4 linked regions of the Saccharomyces cerevisiae S288C genome follow. The main gene of each other region encodes a partner of the protein of the gene in region 2 in a complex. Each region holds a gene or a part of one and is shown on either strand. Other genes may lie near its edges.

Evidence for each region.
Region 1: MRPL15 (region 2) and MRPL35 share a complex: the UniProt entries of both Saccharomyces cerevisiae proteins name them as parts of the mitochondrial large ribosomal subunit.
Region 3: MRPL15 (region 2) and MRX14 share a complex: the UniProt entries of both Saccharomyces cerevisiae proteins name them as parts of the mitochondrial large ribosomal subunit.
Region 4: MRPL15 (region 2) and MRPL20 share a complex: the UniProt entries of both Saccharomyces cerevisiae proteins name them as parts of the mitochondrial large ribosomal subunit.

The regions. Positions count from the first base shown.
Region 1 is NC_001136.10:1,108,322-1,112,344, reverse strand, and holds MRPL35 (mitochondrial 54S ribosomal protein mL38 MRPL35), read right to left. Parts: upstream 1,757-4,023; coding exon 653-1,756; downstream 1-652. Other genes in the region: TIM11 (F1F0 ATP synthase subunit e), read left to right, coding at 52-342; asparaginase ASP1, read right to left, coding at 2,498-3,643; DAD4 (Dad4p), read left to right, coding at 3,847-4,023. UniProt on the Saccharomyces cerevisiae protein: Component of the mitochondrial ribosome (mitoribosome), a dedicated translation machinery responsible for the synthesis of mitochondrial genome-encoded proteins, including at least some of the essential transmembrane subunits of the mitochondrial respiratory chain.
Region 2 is NC_001144.5:757,329-761,004, reverse strand, and holds MRPL15 (mitochondrial 54S ribosomal protein mL57 MRPL15), read right to left. Parts: upstream 1,526-3,676; coding exon 764-1,525; downstream 1-763. Other genes in the region: SPH1 (Sph1p), read left to right, coding at 1-255; ATG39 (Atg39p), read left to right, coding at 2,172-3,368. UniProt on the Saccharomyces cerevisiae protein: Component of the mitochondrial ribosome (mitoribosome), a dedicated translation machinery responsible for the synthesis of mitochondrial genome-encoded proteins, including at least some of the essential transmembrane subunits of the mitochondrial respiratory chain.
Region 3 is NC_001136.10:679,420-682,992, reverse strand, and holds MRX14 (mitochondrial 54S ribosomal protein bL34m MRX14), read right to left. Parts: upstream 819-3,573; coding exon 501-818; downstream 1-500. Other genes in the region: mitochondrial 54S ribosomal protein uL1m MRPL1, read left to right, coding at 1-269; YDR114C (uncharacterized protein), read left to right, coding at 767-1,069; PDS1 (securin), read left to right, coding at 1,376-2,497; alanine transaminase ALT2, read left to right, coding at 3,229-3,573. UniProt on the Saccharomyces cerevisiae protein: Component of the mitochondrial ribosome (mitoribosome), a dedicated translation machinery responsible for the synthesis of mitochondrial genome-encoded proteins, including at least some of the essential transmembrane subunits of the mitochondrial respiratory chain.
Region 4 is NC_001143.9:598,165-601,677, reverse strand, and holds MRPL20 (mitochondrial 54S ribosomal protein mL58 MRPL20), read left to right. Parts: upstream 1-1,996; coding exon 1,997-2,584; downstream 2,585-3,513. Other genes in the region: DEAH-box RNA helicase PRP16, read right to left, coding at 1-1,821; ribosome dissociation factor GTPase HBS1, read left to right, coding at 2,788-3,513. UniProt on the Saccharomyces cerevisiae protein: Component of the mitochondrial ribosome (mitoribosome), a dedicated translation machinery responsible for the synthesis of mitochondrial genome-encoded proteins, including at least some of the essential transmembrane subunits of the mitochondrial respiratory chain.

The sequences.
Region 1 (4,023 bases), on a different chromosome or scaffold from region 2:
GTATTATATCGGAACATAACGTATATAGGAACTAGCTGAGTGAGTTAAAGGATGTCGACAGTTAATGTTTTGAGATACTCTGCGTTGGGTTTGGGGCTATTTTTTGGTTTTAGAAATGATATGATTTTGAAGTGTAATGCTAAGAAGAAAGAGGAGCAGGCACAGTACGAGGAGAAATTGAAGCTGGTAGAGGAGGCAAAGAAGGAATACGCCAAGCTACACCCTGTAGTAACTCCTAAAGATGTGCCTGCGAACGCCTCATTTAATTTGGAAGATCCTAATATAGATTTTGAAAGAGTTATTCTTAACGCCGTTGAATCCCTGAAGGAAGCTTCAACATAAATAGAAGCTTCAACATAAATAGGATACTAAAAATGCACATTAGCTCGCACTGAATGACGAAGTTATGATGGATTCTCGTTCGCTAGATGTTCCATATTTTTTTCTTCATTCGTTAGTGCACAAACAATAAGGAAAAAAATGAAATGTATATATTCTAGAACATACTAATATCATACGTATCGTATTGTAAACAAAATTCACATTCCAAAAATTTTTCAGATTCTTACTTTATATTATTTGCATCAAGCTTTATTAACAATGACACGTTATTTTATATGTACAGGATACTATAATGTCATACTATTTAGGATCACCTTCTAACTCTGCTAAAAACCCTTCCAGGTGGTAGGCCATATTTTTCTCTGACGGCGGCGACTTTGGCATCCCATTCGCTTCTCCAGATATGTGCCCCAATAGCGGTTAGATTGTATTTCTTCGTAAATTGCCTGATATCAAAATCATCTCTACTTAGTTCCTTTCGGTCAATCTCTAACATGTTAGGACCTTGCTTATCCTCGATTAAGGGTTGTCTGAATACCCAAACAACGAATCTCTGTTTTCCAGCATTCTTTTCAGGTACCGGAGGTAAGTAGTCAGCGATAATATTAGAACTGTGGAACTTTCTTGGATCTATTAAATTGTCATTATAAGTCAAATTAATATTCACCAATCCGTAACACAAAGCCGTTTTAAATGAGTCATTACTCAAATCTGGAACATCAGGATTGACTATCAGTACCGTATACAATTGTTTTTCAACGTTCACAAGTTCATATTCTTGAATTTTGAAAATGGGACGCATGGATGTGACATTGGACGATAGAAATTCACCAGGTTCGATCCACTTATTTACACCAGTAGAGAAGGGAAATTTGATATTCACTTCTGCCCGTGGAACCAGAGTTGGAAGAGTATCAGGAATGGCAGCCAACGTTTCTAACCTTTGCATCAATAACATCTGGCCGTACGATTCCCAATGTTGTTTCCCCAAATGTCTGTACACTGGCACATCATAATCTATTATATCCTTAACATTGTTCAACTTGTTATTAAACTGAAAATTGTATTGTACCTCAGGATTATTGATCTCTGCTTTTATGAGAAGTGCATCCTTCTTCAAGGGATTTTTAGTCTTATTGGCCAACTCATAAAACTTACTGGATCTTTGCTCAAGAAAATCATAACTCATCCTGAAAATCTCATCAATGTGTTCTGGAGGTGAATATTTGATACGGTTACTTCTTCTGCTGATAGATGGTGGGTCTAGAGAAGCTTTCTTCTGGAAAAGGTAATTTTTCACTTTTGAAGATTGGATAGAAAGTGAACTAGGCCTTGTGGTAAAGTCCGACCAAATATGCGAAGTAGCATTAGGTTTTTGGAGGATTTTAGTGGTATGAATAGATCTTCGTAACATAGTTCGGCAGTGACCTTGATTTCTGTAAAGATCTCTGAATAAGCTTTTTGCTGTAGTCTGATATTGTATTGGATACTGTTGTCTTATCCCAGACCTTCCGGCTTCCGGTTTAGCCCGGAAAATTTGAAAAGACTGCGACAGTAAATCCCAAACACATAAGAAAATAAAAAAAGGAATACATAAACAAAAATGGATATATAAAGGCTAATTTTTTTTTGTTTATCAAATATTCCTTATTTTTTAACTTTCTTAAAAATATTTAAACACCAGATTTCGAAAAAAGTAATATTTATTCTTTAAAAATGCGGTGACCAGCGGGCGATGATAATCAAATATTTAAAAATGATATAATGATAAAACTTGAATTATTTTTATAGGAAAAGTGGAACCAAAAGATTTTCTAATGCACTGATATCATGAGCAGTTAATGAAAAATTATTAATATTATTTTTTTTATATTTTTATTCAAAAATAACATTCAAAATTTAATTTTAATAAACTCATTTAAAAAAAACCTCTAAAAACATGAAGATAGAACTATAATAACGGCTTCAGTATTCAAGACAAAGCCATGTGCAGGTGAAACGATAGAAAAGTGACATAGCCGAGACAATCTAAATGAAGAATTCCTGTACTCATCTCAGACTAGCATTAACAGGGACTTGCATAATTATATCTCTATCTCTGTGTCTATGTATATATATATATATATCGACACAAATGCAAAAAATTACAAAATTTTCACCCACCATAGACGCCAGTGAAAACATGTTTAATTTCTTCCAACGTGTAGTTACCTGCCAAACATAATTGTAACAAGATTCTGCTCTTTTCAGGGCTTAGATAACCAGATGCGATGAGATTATCCTCCTTTGAACCTTTCTTTGGTACGTTGGCAATAGGCACCATACCATCCATCGATCTCTTGGAATATACGATCGGCAAACTCAATTTCATGCAGGTTTCATTGACCTCCTCCGGCAATGAACCAGCACCCATGGTAGCAAGAACAATACCATCATACTTATCTGCCACTAAGTTGACTATAGCTGGCGGAAAGGCTTGGTGAGCATATAAAATGCAAACCTCTGGTAATTTAAAATGCTTACCGTCCACTCTCAGTTTGAATTTGTGGCAACCTTGCGGTTTCACAGGAGGATAATAGTAGTGAATTTCATTGTTGACAAAATTTCCTAAATAGCCTTGTCTAACATTAAAAGAATCCAAACTATTTGCATTCGTCTTAGTAATGTAGTAACCAGAGGAAATTTGGTCATTCAAGGAAACAAGAACACCTCTTCCTCTAGATTTTGGATTTGAAGCAATGCAAATTGCTTGGTAAAGGTTCATAGGGCCATCAGCAGAAACGCTGGTTGAAGGACGCATCGAACCAACAAAAACAATAGGAACGTCGCCAGCATCAATAGTACTTTCAATAAAGAATGCAGTTTCAGATAGCGTATCAGTCCCATGGGTAATAACTATACCGTCAAAAGCCTGCAACGATTCTGAGACGCCCTTATAAATTTTATAAAGAATATCCTCGTTTATGTCTTTAGAATCCACGTTGCATAGTTGCTCATATTCAATGTCACAGACCTTGGATATATCTGGAATGGCATCCAATAGATCTTGGATGGTCAGGTCAACATGATAGCCGGCAGTTTGAGAGGAGTCTATAGCTTTCGATGCAATAGTACCACCGGTACCCAAGATTTTGATTCTTGGTAAGCTACGTTGTTGGCAAGCGATGCCGCTGCCATTCACAGCGGCATTTTGAGACTTTAGAATCTCTGGAATAGTCTCTGGACAGTTGCTTTGCACAACAAACTGAGAATTTTCAACATCTGGGCAGATGGTAGTGATTTCAACTGAATCGCTTTTCATGATACGCTTCCAAAAGTGCGATGAGAGTGCTGTTATCCTCCACTGTCTTCAAACACATTTCTTCAACAAAGTCATCGTCATCATCTTTTTTTTTTTTTTTTCATCGAGTATTTTTTCACACGAACGGCACAAGTAGCCTTCAACTGTAATAAACAAAAGCAGATAGGGAGGAAAAGAAGTGAGTTTAGGAAAGAAAGCATAACATGGAGAACCCTCATGAACAAGTGCAGGCTAACATACTTTCGCGAATAATTGGTAATGTCAAAAGGCTCAATGAGAGCGTGGCAATTCTTAACCAGGAGCTTGTGACCATTAATAATCGGAACAAAAATCTAGAAATCATGGGCGCAATTTGTGATAACTACCATAGTAGCGTCCAA
Region 2 (3,676 bases):
AAGCCGTATGCAAATATTCCGCCAGCTGCAGACGTACTTTACTCGCCAACCGTGACCAAAATGAGGAAATTCAGAGAGAAAGTGCAGAAATTTGCTCCCAACTCTGGTCTTGGATTAAGAATATCTACTTCAGAAGAAAACTTGAATAATTCTGATGTCAACTCAACCACGCACAACGCTAACATAAATAACCTCGTCGAATTTGTTGAGAGTAAATCAATGGTTGTTCTTCCTATGGCAGGCAGGGCATTTTGAATGATGTTCAAGCCTCTAAATCAAAATTGTTCAAGTCCGCAAGATCAGTTTCGAGATTATGTCAAAATTCCATCGAGATTATTCCTATTTTGGAATCGGTGATTGATATGACTACCAAAGCAATGGTCCAAAAAAGTTTTAAACTGGATTTAGGCGAGCACTGTAAAGAAATTATTGAAAGGCTCACAGATTGCTCGCAAAAGTTATCGGAATTGTGTACTTATGGATGCGATTCCACAAAGCTTGGGAAGAAACGATTCTATCAAAAATTAGCAGATATCCTGATGGAAGTAACCAAGCGCACCAGGGAATTGGTTGAATGTGTGAAGATGGCGAACAGGCAGACTCTTTCACAGGACCTCTCGTCATTTTTCAATTATAGATCTGTACAGTAAAGTCATATATATTCTTTAGTTATTATCTTATTTTATTTCGATCACTATTTACAGATAAATTTTTCTTTTATACATTTTTGGCCAGTGAACCATCAACTATATTTTTTGTATCTTCACAGAAATGCTTTATTTTCCTTGTCGGATATTTTTGCCTTTGCAGATGCTACATTTTCATTAGCAATGTTAACCAAGGAATGAAGATCTTCTTTATCCAGCAAACTTCCTTGGATAAATTTAGCTGCTTTTTCAGATCCATTCGTTGACAGAATTGCACCAATAAATGCGTTCAAGACACTAGCAAAAATCGTGGTTTCACCATTTATGTGGCCATCTTTTATTGGGTCTCTCATCTTCCAAAATATGAAAGGGTCTAGATTATGTAATTTAACGAATGTGCATGCTGTGTTTTTGGACGTTAATTCCTTAGCGAATTTTGTTCCCAGATTGCTGAACTGCAAAGAAAGTTGCCCGTTCTCGCAACTCTCGGCCGGCGAACCATTCTTTAACGAATGAATGCACGTCTGTAGTTTCAAAAACTGTGCTCCTAGCAGATTCAGTTTTTCGTTGTATGGCTTTGACCCGTGTGCGAACGACTTATGTGTTAAACACTGCAAAATCAGTTCGTTTGATAAATTTATTCCGTACTTGGGCAATTGTAGTATGGATCTAACTTTGTCTTGACACTCTTTTGCGTTAACTTCAGTAAAGAGTACCCCGCTAGGATTTCTCAAGTACGACTCTGGATCTCGTCTCAAACCATTAATTCTCGGACCCTTATGAAGGTATATGACTGTTCTAACGCTTTGTAAATTGCAGTTCAAAGCAGTAACGGGTCTCCGCAAGGAACGCGATATAAACATCATGCTATTTTCCATGTTTCCGAGCTTGTCTACTCTTTACTTTCCATCTACCGTTATAGTTTTATATCTCGCTCTTGTTCATACTATATGCAAGTTTTCCAACGCTTCCCATAGCATAAGCTTGGATAGCGAAACCTAAGTTGTTTTTTTTTTCAAAAACTCATCAATTAGGGCAAACTTGAATAGTCAGCTAGGTCATATATTTAAAATCAATTAGCCCTATGACTACATTAGGTTTATTGTTAGGTCTTTACGGCTGCATATTTGCTTTCGCCGTTCGGCGGGGTCCTGCGACGATTTCTGCGCGGTCTTGTATGGGTGGAGTTGACAGTTAACCCTCCGGACCCCCTACCCCGGTGTGCCCCCGGTCCATCTATCCATTTTGCGGTAACCCCTTTGCGCGACAGCTGCTTATCAAGGTACCTGGATCGAGCCATAAAAATTGATCTACACAGATGAGATGGGGCATTGGGATATATTATTAGTCGGAGTATCATTATAGTTATTCAGTTTTATGCAGGTTACTGGCCAAACGTTTTTCTTCATTTGGAATAATCGTTTAGGAGCTACTGTTCCGGTATAAAGTAACAAGCACAGTAGCAGAGTAATACGCAGTGACGATAATAGAGACTAGTAAAACAGTCGAGTTGTCGGACCTAAAATGTCAGAAGAAGACGATCATTGGAATTTAGTTAGATTACGTAGATTACGTAAAGGGAGAGAAGGGGAAGAACAGTCATCGAAGTCAGAAATATCTTTGGATAGTTTGCATGAAAGCTCCTTTGCAGGAGAGGACGACGAGGACTTCGATGCAGATGTCCTATCGAACACTAGCAGTGAAGAGTCTGCACAGATGAATCGTATTTACGATTTTAGAACATCTAATGAATTTAGTAATGCTGGAGTTAATATTGATCAAACTGGAGTTCCCACTATTTCAGAGTCATTTGATACTTTGTCCGGCTCAAATGTTGGCGGAACGGTATTGCCAAGTATGGAGGGGTCGAAACTGAAGGATAGTACGATAAGGAATTCTAGCACACTATCGGATCATATCATAGATAAAAGTGAGGGTAAATCTGCTAAATTGAAGATGTGGCATGTTATCATGCTATCTTCATTGCTTTCCATGACCTTTTCATACCTCGCCCTCGAATATTCCCTGACTGGTGATGTGTTGGCAGGTTTTAAATCACAACAGTCATTACGTAATAATGAAAGGAAGCTGTTGTACGGCAATATCGATTTTGTTGATAAAAAATCTTACGATTCATCAAGTGACTCTTTAAGTCAGTGGGCTCCTTCAGGAAAATACTACGTCGACTTCGACAATCATATTGCATACCCATTAAAGGATGATGACCTAATGGGCTGGAGACGATACAAAACAGACTTAGTTATTTTATGGTATACAACAAAAGCTCGAATGAAAGACGGTTGGCACAAGAGAATTAACAAAATAAACGGAGGAAGAATAAAGTTACACCTATTTCTCAAGAATTCTTTTAAATCCGCTCAAGAAAGTTTAAGGGTATTGCATAAAGAACAGAAACGCCGCTGGAAAAGGCTCTTTGTGCTACTTCATAATAAATACAGGCAATTTTCTCCACATATTAAAAGGTATTTCGATCATTCTTGCCAAAAAGCAAAACAATGTTGGTCGGGATCCAGATTGCAGTTGCGCAAGCTTCGTTTCAAGTCAATGAAACCATTCCGAGTTTTTCAGTTTAAGGTTCGCAAAGATACCAACTGGTTTGTAAAGCAGCTGAAACGGTTCGGATTGAAATTACAGCATTCGAGGATGTATAAAGCGATGTCAGAATGCAGGAAAAAAAATTATTTTAAGTGCAAACACTAGATCATCCAAAACCCAGCATGAAGAATGAAATTAACAAAAGAAAAAAAAAACGACTGCTTAGTAGGAGTGTCATATATCCCTCCTTTAAATTTTTTTACACTTACTTTCCTTTTTTTATTGAGAATAGAAAAGGTGCATCTCTCTCTCTCTCTCTCTCTATCTCTATCTCTAAGGTTTTATTACTTTCATAACGTATGCTATCCATCTCTTTTCCTTTTTTTTTGTTTTGTTATTCCCTTTTTTTACTCAGTTAGATTCATACTACTATATTTACATATTCTTCGAAGCTTTTATGAGTTAAATATTTT
Region 3 (3,573 bases), on a different chromosome or scaffold from region 2:
CTGTCAAAAAAGGTACGGTGAGTGATGATATAAGCTCCTTACTTCAAGAAAGTCTAGGATCTATGCCTTTCAGGCAAAGGGGAAACTCTATCAGCATTGGAGTCGGCAAATGCTACTTCACTGATCGAGAAATTTTACAAAACATTATATCCGCTAGAGCGGCATTTAAAACTGCTGTTGATAATCAAAAATCTAAGAAACCAAATATACTGAGTAAAACCACATTATCAAGCACACATGGCCCCGGTATTGTAATCGATTTTGCTTAATCAGCGAATCAGTTTTGTCTTGTTGGACTTTTTTAATTGTATATATATATATACTGGTGCATTTTCTTTCTTTTTATATAAAATCATGTACATACAAAGTAACCGTCTTTTTAAAGTGGAATAAAGTAACTGCTCTTTTATTTTTGAATAATAGTGAAAGTGTATGTTGCATAATCATTAGATACCTATGTACAAGAAGTATTCAAATTTATCTGAATAGTATGTGAAATTTCAATGAGACAAAAACCACCTACCTTTGAGCTTCCTCCTTTTCAATATCTTAGAGCCCTGTTTGCTCTTGGCCCTAGCCAAGAAACCAAAAGTTCTCTTCCGTTTCAATGTACTAGGTTGATAGGTGTTACCCCTTGATTTCCATCTTCTTTGACCTATTAAGCCAAATCCCAACGGTGTGAAGGACGGAGTCTTCAATGGTGAACTGTTTAAGAGCATACCGGTTTGTGGGCGTAACACAGATAGAGCAGAGAAAGAAGATATAGATGAAAACATTCTTCTTGATTGAGGCTGGCAGAGCCTTGCAAATAGTGGCATTCCGTCCTGCGATTACTACTGTTCTATTCCAACGTTTCTCAGTGAGTTTCTCCTGTAGTTATTTCACTTGTTGTACCTCACAGCTTCTACGGGAAAATTGGCTTTTCAAATTCCTTACAGCTTTCGATCACGTGATCCGAGCTTCAAATGACCTTTCGACGATGCGTTTCATGATTATGTATATATATGTATATATATATATCTATACAGTCTTAAGGAAGCGCTTAAGTTGTTACATGTTAATACTTTAGGGTTGGATTTATTTTACGGATAACATAGGATTTGCGAGAAATATCTGCTTCACTATCACTTTCCGTGCGACGTGTGTATTTGTTAGCGTAGGTTGCTTATCGTTTTCACACAAAGATCTCAAACGCGTCAAAAAACTCGTGTAAGAGGTCAAAAAGAAAAACAAACAAAATAAACAAACAAAATAAATGCAGCTTTAAATCAATATTCGGCGAAGGCAAGTAACGGTTGCTAGCGGTTTTTCCCATTCACATACTATTACACTTCTGCGGTACCAAGCTAGATTAAGTGCTAGATAATAAACCTTTATGATGCCAGCTAACGAAGATAAAGAGAATAATATCGTATATACAGGGAATGAAAGTTCCGGCATTAACTTTCCACAGACGCCGGCTCACTTGCTGAAAAGGTCGCACTCTAATATTTTAAAACCACCTGTAAGATTGGACCAACTCAAAAGGGATGCGAACAGCAACAATGGCAACACATTAAAGTACATACAAGGAGGGAAGGAGGTGTCACCCACAAAAAGGTTGCATACCCATGCGCAACAACAAGGAAGATTGCCTCTGGCAGCAAAAGACAACAATAGATCGAAAAGCTTTATTTTTCCCGAAACTTCTAATCAGAGTAAAGATGCAGACTTACCACAACTACAGAATACACTATCTATACGCAAAAACGACCAACTCAGGAAACTTTCGCAAATTTCTCGCAGTCGTAGTAGGGCCAACCATAATGATTTGTTAAGCAATTCAAGAAAGTTACAAAAGTACGGTTCTGTCCTTGGTTATAATGCTTTACCTAAAATGAAAAGTCTAGTTTTAAAAGATCTTGCAGATTCAGGTAAAAATGAAGAGAGTTCCGACGATGATGAAGGTAATGAAGATTCCGAGAGTAAACTTGGCAAAAAACTCCAAAGTGCACTTTTAAAACAGGATTCCTCCGACGGTGAAAATGAATTAAATGGTGGCCTAGGACTATTTAATGAGCAAGGTGGTCTGCAACAACTCATAAAGAACTCCACGAAGAATGAGCAAAAAACTAAAAACGATAAAAGTGATAAAACTGATGACTATGATATCGAAATAGCACCACAGAGGCAGGAGCCGTTACCGTATGTACCAGAAGGCTATTCCCCATTTCAACAAGATGATATTGAAAAGCTGAAGACGTTCAACTCACCATATAAGCTTGACTTGGAAGACGAAGATGACACCCCAGATAAAGTTGATTTACTCCCACTAGAACAAATTGATGAAGAAGGCGAAAAAGATGAGACTGAGTGCATCACTCGGAATCAAGAAGAAGGTGCAGCGTTACCACTGCTGTCTAAGAACTTCAAAGAAGTTGCCGCCGTCCCAACCATGGAGTTAGTGTACAGCGAAGAAGGCCTCGATCCTGAAGAACTAGAGGACTTAGTTACTTAGATCCACTGCTCATTCACATACACACAACATATATACACGTATATACAGATACTTTATAACATACAATTCTGGTTAAAAGCGGTTGCTCCTGCCGCCGGGATTTAATCTGCGGCCTCACCCATACCTCAACTACCGCCATTGTTCGTACGTTTTAAATGGCTTCGCTTCACCCTTGATTGGCAAAGGGTCCAAGAGGGATCACATCACGATACTATTGTTTCTACTAATGTGCTGCGGGCTGATGTCCTCCACACGTCTTCAATTGCTTCTCTTTATGGGTTCTCAAAGTACTTCGTCATAATTACTTCATTATACCTAAGAAAATAATTTCATTTTTTTTCTGAATTTTTTAGCAGAAAAAAAAAAAGTTCAAGTTTGGCCTCATTCGCAATATTTTCTCCATGGAAACGGCTTGTATCTTGAGGCTTCTCCTACTTGTTTGGCGATTTTATTTTATTTTTCCTACTCTTATGGTCCCATATGTACATCTACATATCTCTTCAAATTACCAATACACTTTTAGGATAGCTAAATTTACTACTTCGTGTGGGAACTATATTCTGTTCACTTTTCTTTTTGATCCTTTCTTGACTGACATCATCCTTTTCTCATTCAGTAAATACCCCAATATTTCCTCATATCTCTAGAGGCATAAAAGATAAGAATAAAGGGAAGGAGCGCCACAGTAGTGTTGTTTTTGTAAGTGGTAAACACAGAAGAAGTAAGAACACATGACAATGACACACCAACAGGATTTGAAAGGTGTGTTCACCGCAAAGGATTTGGATTTTAAGCCCGCTGGCAAGATTACTAAAAAAGATTTGAATACAGGTGTCACTAAGGCAGAATATGCTGTAAGAGGAGCTATTCCAACCAGAGCTGACGAGCTAAAAGAGGAATTGAAAAAAAACCCAGAAGTTTTGCCTTTCGATGATATTATCAATGCGAACATTGGTAATCCGCAGCAACTGGATCAGAAGCCTTTGACCTTTACCAGGCAAGTACTGGCCATCCTGGAGTACCCGGAAATTTTACGAGTAGGCCATAATGAACTGGCTTCTTTGAACTTGTTTTCC
Region 4 (3,513 bases), on a different chromosome or scaffold from region 2:
TTCAATATCATTGATCTCTTCAAAGTTTGCGGTACCAAACTTTTTAGAATATACTTGCAAAAACTTTTCTTGCAGAGTGTCGAACGTTGTTTCAATATCTTCTTGACCTGTCATGAAAATGAGAATATCACCGCTTGAACAATCGTTTGCTAAATGAATTTTCACAGCCTGAGAAACTGCAGCTTCTACGTAGTCTTGAACAGGGTTGGAAGTATATATGGTCTGTACGGGGAAAGTTCTTCCAGGAATTGTGAACTGAGGAGCATTACCAAAAAATGCGGAGAACTTCTTCGCATTCATTGTTGCTGAAGTGATTATGAGTTTTAGATCTCTTCTACGTGCTAATAAAATCTTGAAAAAACCTAGTAAAATGTCTGTATTTAATGACCTTTCATGAGCTTCATCAATAATAACACACGAATATTTATCGAGTGTATCATCCAATAAGGTCTCTCTGAGTAGAATACCATCCGTTACAAACTTAAGTTTTGTACACTCAGAATCCGTCACATCTTCAAACCTTATAGAATAGCCTACTTCCTTACCCAATGGAACTTGCATTTCCATTGCAACCCTTTTTGCAACGGATATGGCTGCTACTCTTCTCGGCTGTGTGACAACAATAGATTTCCCCCTATCGTTGGCATATCCTTCTTCATATAAATACTGTGCAAGTTGCGTGGTTTTACCTGAGCCCGTTTCACCAATTATCACCACTACTTGATTTTCTCTTATCAATGATAACAATTGAGATCTGCAGCGGAAAACAGGCAGTTGCTCTTTAGTATGTTTAATGTCATCTTTTGATGGCGTGAAAAGAGCTGTATCGTCGCAAATCTTTTGGTTGCTCTTATCTTTTGCTTTATTGTTATTCTCCAAGCCTAGTACTTCCCCCATGGCAGTGTTCAAAACAGTGGTGTTGTCTCGAGATTGTTGAATATGTTCCATGTTTATCCTTCTCAAGGCAACCAGCTTACTACCTCGTTTGGCGTTCGCAGAAAATTCACTGTCAGGATTCCTAAATGGATTCACCATTGATAAAGCGGATACTTGGCTGGACGTCTCAGAGATGGACCCGATAATTATGGAAGTGGGCACTTTGTTTTCAAGAGCAAACTTTGATAAAAAAGGAGGGATCCATTCCATTCTTTGCTTGAGTGGTATGGGGTATAATTGAACGGTATTTCGTAAGGCATCATCGTTGTCGATATTCCTAATGACAGGTAGTAGTTTCGCTTCCTCAGGCAATTCAGACAGAGGTTCAGGCACCAAATTTCCATAATCATCATCATTATCATACCATTCTCTGTCCTCCTCAACTACTTCGCTTCGAGTCGGTTCATAGTCCTTCGTTTCAGCATGACCATTCTGTGTTTGCTGTTCACTATTTGGAGAAGGATCCTTCACGGTGGGCGAATACTGCCTCAACTGTTTGGCCTTTAGTTTATCTATTCTCTTGAACAACGTCCGTGTAGGTGCTGGTTTTTTTTGAACTGGAGAATCTAGCTCATCTTCATTATCGTCAAGGTCTAACTGGATCTTAAATTTCTTTCTCTTATTTATAGAAGGGGCGATTTTCTTTGGGCCTGTCGAGTCCTCTTCAGATTTATTCTTGAGGAGCTCCAGAAGTTCATTAAAAATGATTGGATTGTTACTGCTGAGTTTCGTCAAAGCTTTACAGCTGGCAATAAACTGTTCTAGATTAGTATTCGGCTTTTGCGCTAGTTTCTGCAGTGTCAAAAGCAACCCAGGCGTTAGTTCTTTTGACGTAAGTTCCTTAAATATGTCTTTTATCCTTTCCTCACGCCCCGAATGACCCATACCAGAGGTATTTGTATTGTCTTTGGGCCTTCTTGTGTTTTATCATCTGCAGTCATCTCATGAATTTTTCAGCTTTCACCGCTTTTATTATTTGAGAAAATAGAAAAGAGGGCAAAAAGAGATACTTTCAACAAGTTAAAATGGAAAATTAAAGACAAAGTAAAATAGCACAAGAATGATTGGCAGAGGTGTGTGCTGCAGATCGTTCCACACTGCTGGATCTGCCTGGAAGCAATTTGGATTTCCCAAAACACAAGTGACAACGATTTACAACAAGACTAAGAGCGCATCTAACTATAAAGGGTATTTAAAGCACAGAGATGCTCCAGGAATGTACTATCAACCATCAGAATCCATCGCAACCGGATCTGTTAACAGTGAGACCATTCCACGTAGCTTTATGGCAGCCAGTGACCCTCGTAGAGGGCTTGACATGCCTGTTCAAAGCACTAAAGCGAAGCAGTGTCCAAATGTTCTCGTAGGTAAGAGCACAGTGAACGGCAAAACCTATCATCTGGGACCTCAAGAAATTGATGAGATCCGGAAGTTACGTCTTGACAATCCTCAAAAGTATACACGCAAATTTTTGGCTGCAAAATATGGCATTTCGCCATTATTTGTATCCATGGTCTCGAAACCTAGTGAACAACATGTACAAATTATGGAAAGTAGATTGCAAGAAATCCAATCACGCTGGAAGGAGAAGAGGCGTATAGCCAGAGAGGACCGTAAGCGTAGAAAACTCCTGTGGTACCAGGCGTGAATGCTATATAAATATAATAACAATCGTGTAAATACTACTCTATAAGTACTTCGTATTCATATATTGATCACAATGCACGGAGACGCCCATTAATGTGACTTGAATATACCACATGAAAGCTAACCAATAAGCAATTTAAAAAGAGTTAAGTACAGCTTGGAGACACCCAAAGGCTTCTGCTTCGACAACTATTGACTATCGAGATGGCTTACAGTGACTACAGCGATGGAGCAGACGACATGCCGGACTTTCACGACGAAGGTGAATTTGATGATTATTTGAATGACGATGAATATGATCTAATGAACGAGGTATTTCCTACTCTAAAGGCGCAGTTACAGGATTACCAAGGCTGGGATAATCTTTCACTTAAGCTAGCTTTGTTTGACAACAATTTCGATTTGGAAAGCACGCTGGCGGAATTGAAGAAAACTTTGAAGAAGAAGAAGACACCAAAGAAGCCAATTGCTGCTGCTAATGGGAGTGCGAATGTTACTCAAAAACTGGCAAACATCTCAATTTCGCAACAAAGGCCAAATGATCGGCTTCCAGACTGGCTTGACGAGGAAGAAAGTGAGGGTGAACGCAATGGTGAGGAAGCCAATGATGAAAAGACAGTTCAAAGATACTATAAGACTACGGTGCCAACGAAACCAAAGAAACCTCATGATATTTCTGCATTTGTTAAATCTGCCTTACCTCACTTAAGTTTTGTTGTTCTTGGTCATGTTGATGCGGGAAAATCAACTCTAATGGGCAGACTACTTTATGATCTGAACATTGTCAACCAATCCCAACTGAGAAAGCTACAAAGAGAGAGTGAAACTATGGGTAAGTCATCCTTCAAATTTGCATGGATTATGGATCAGACAAATGAAGAGCGCGAACGTGGTGTAACAGTGTCAATTTGTACATCGCATTTCTCTACC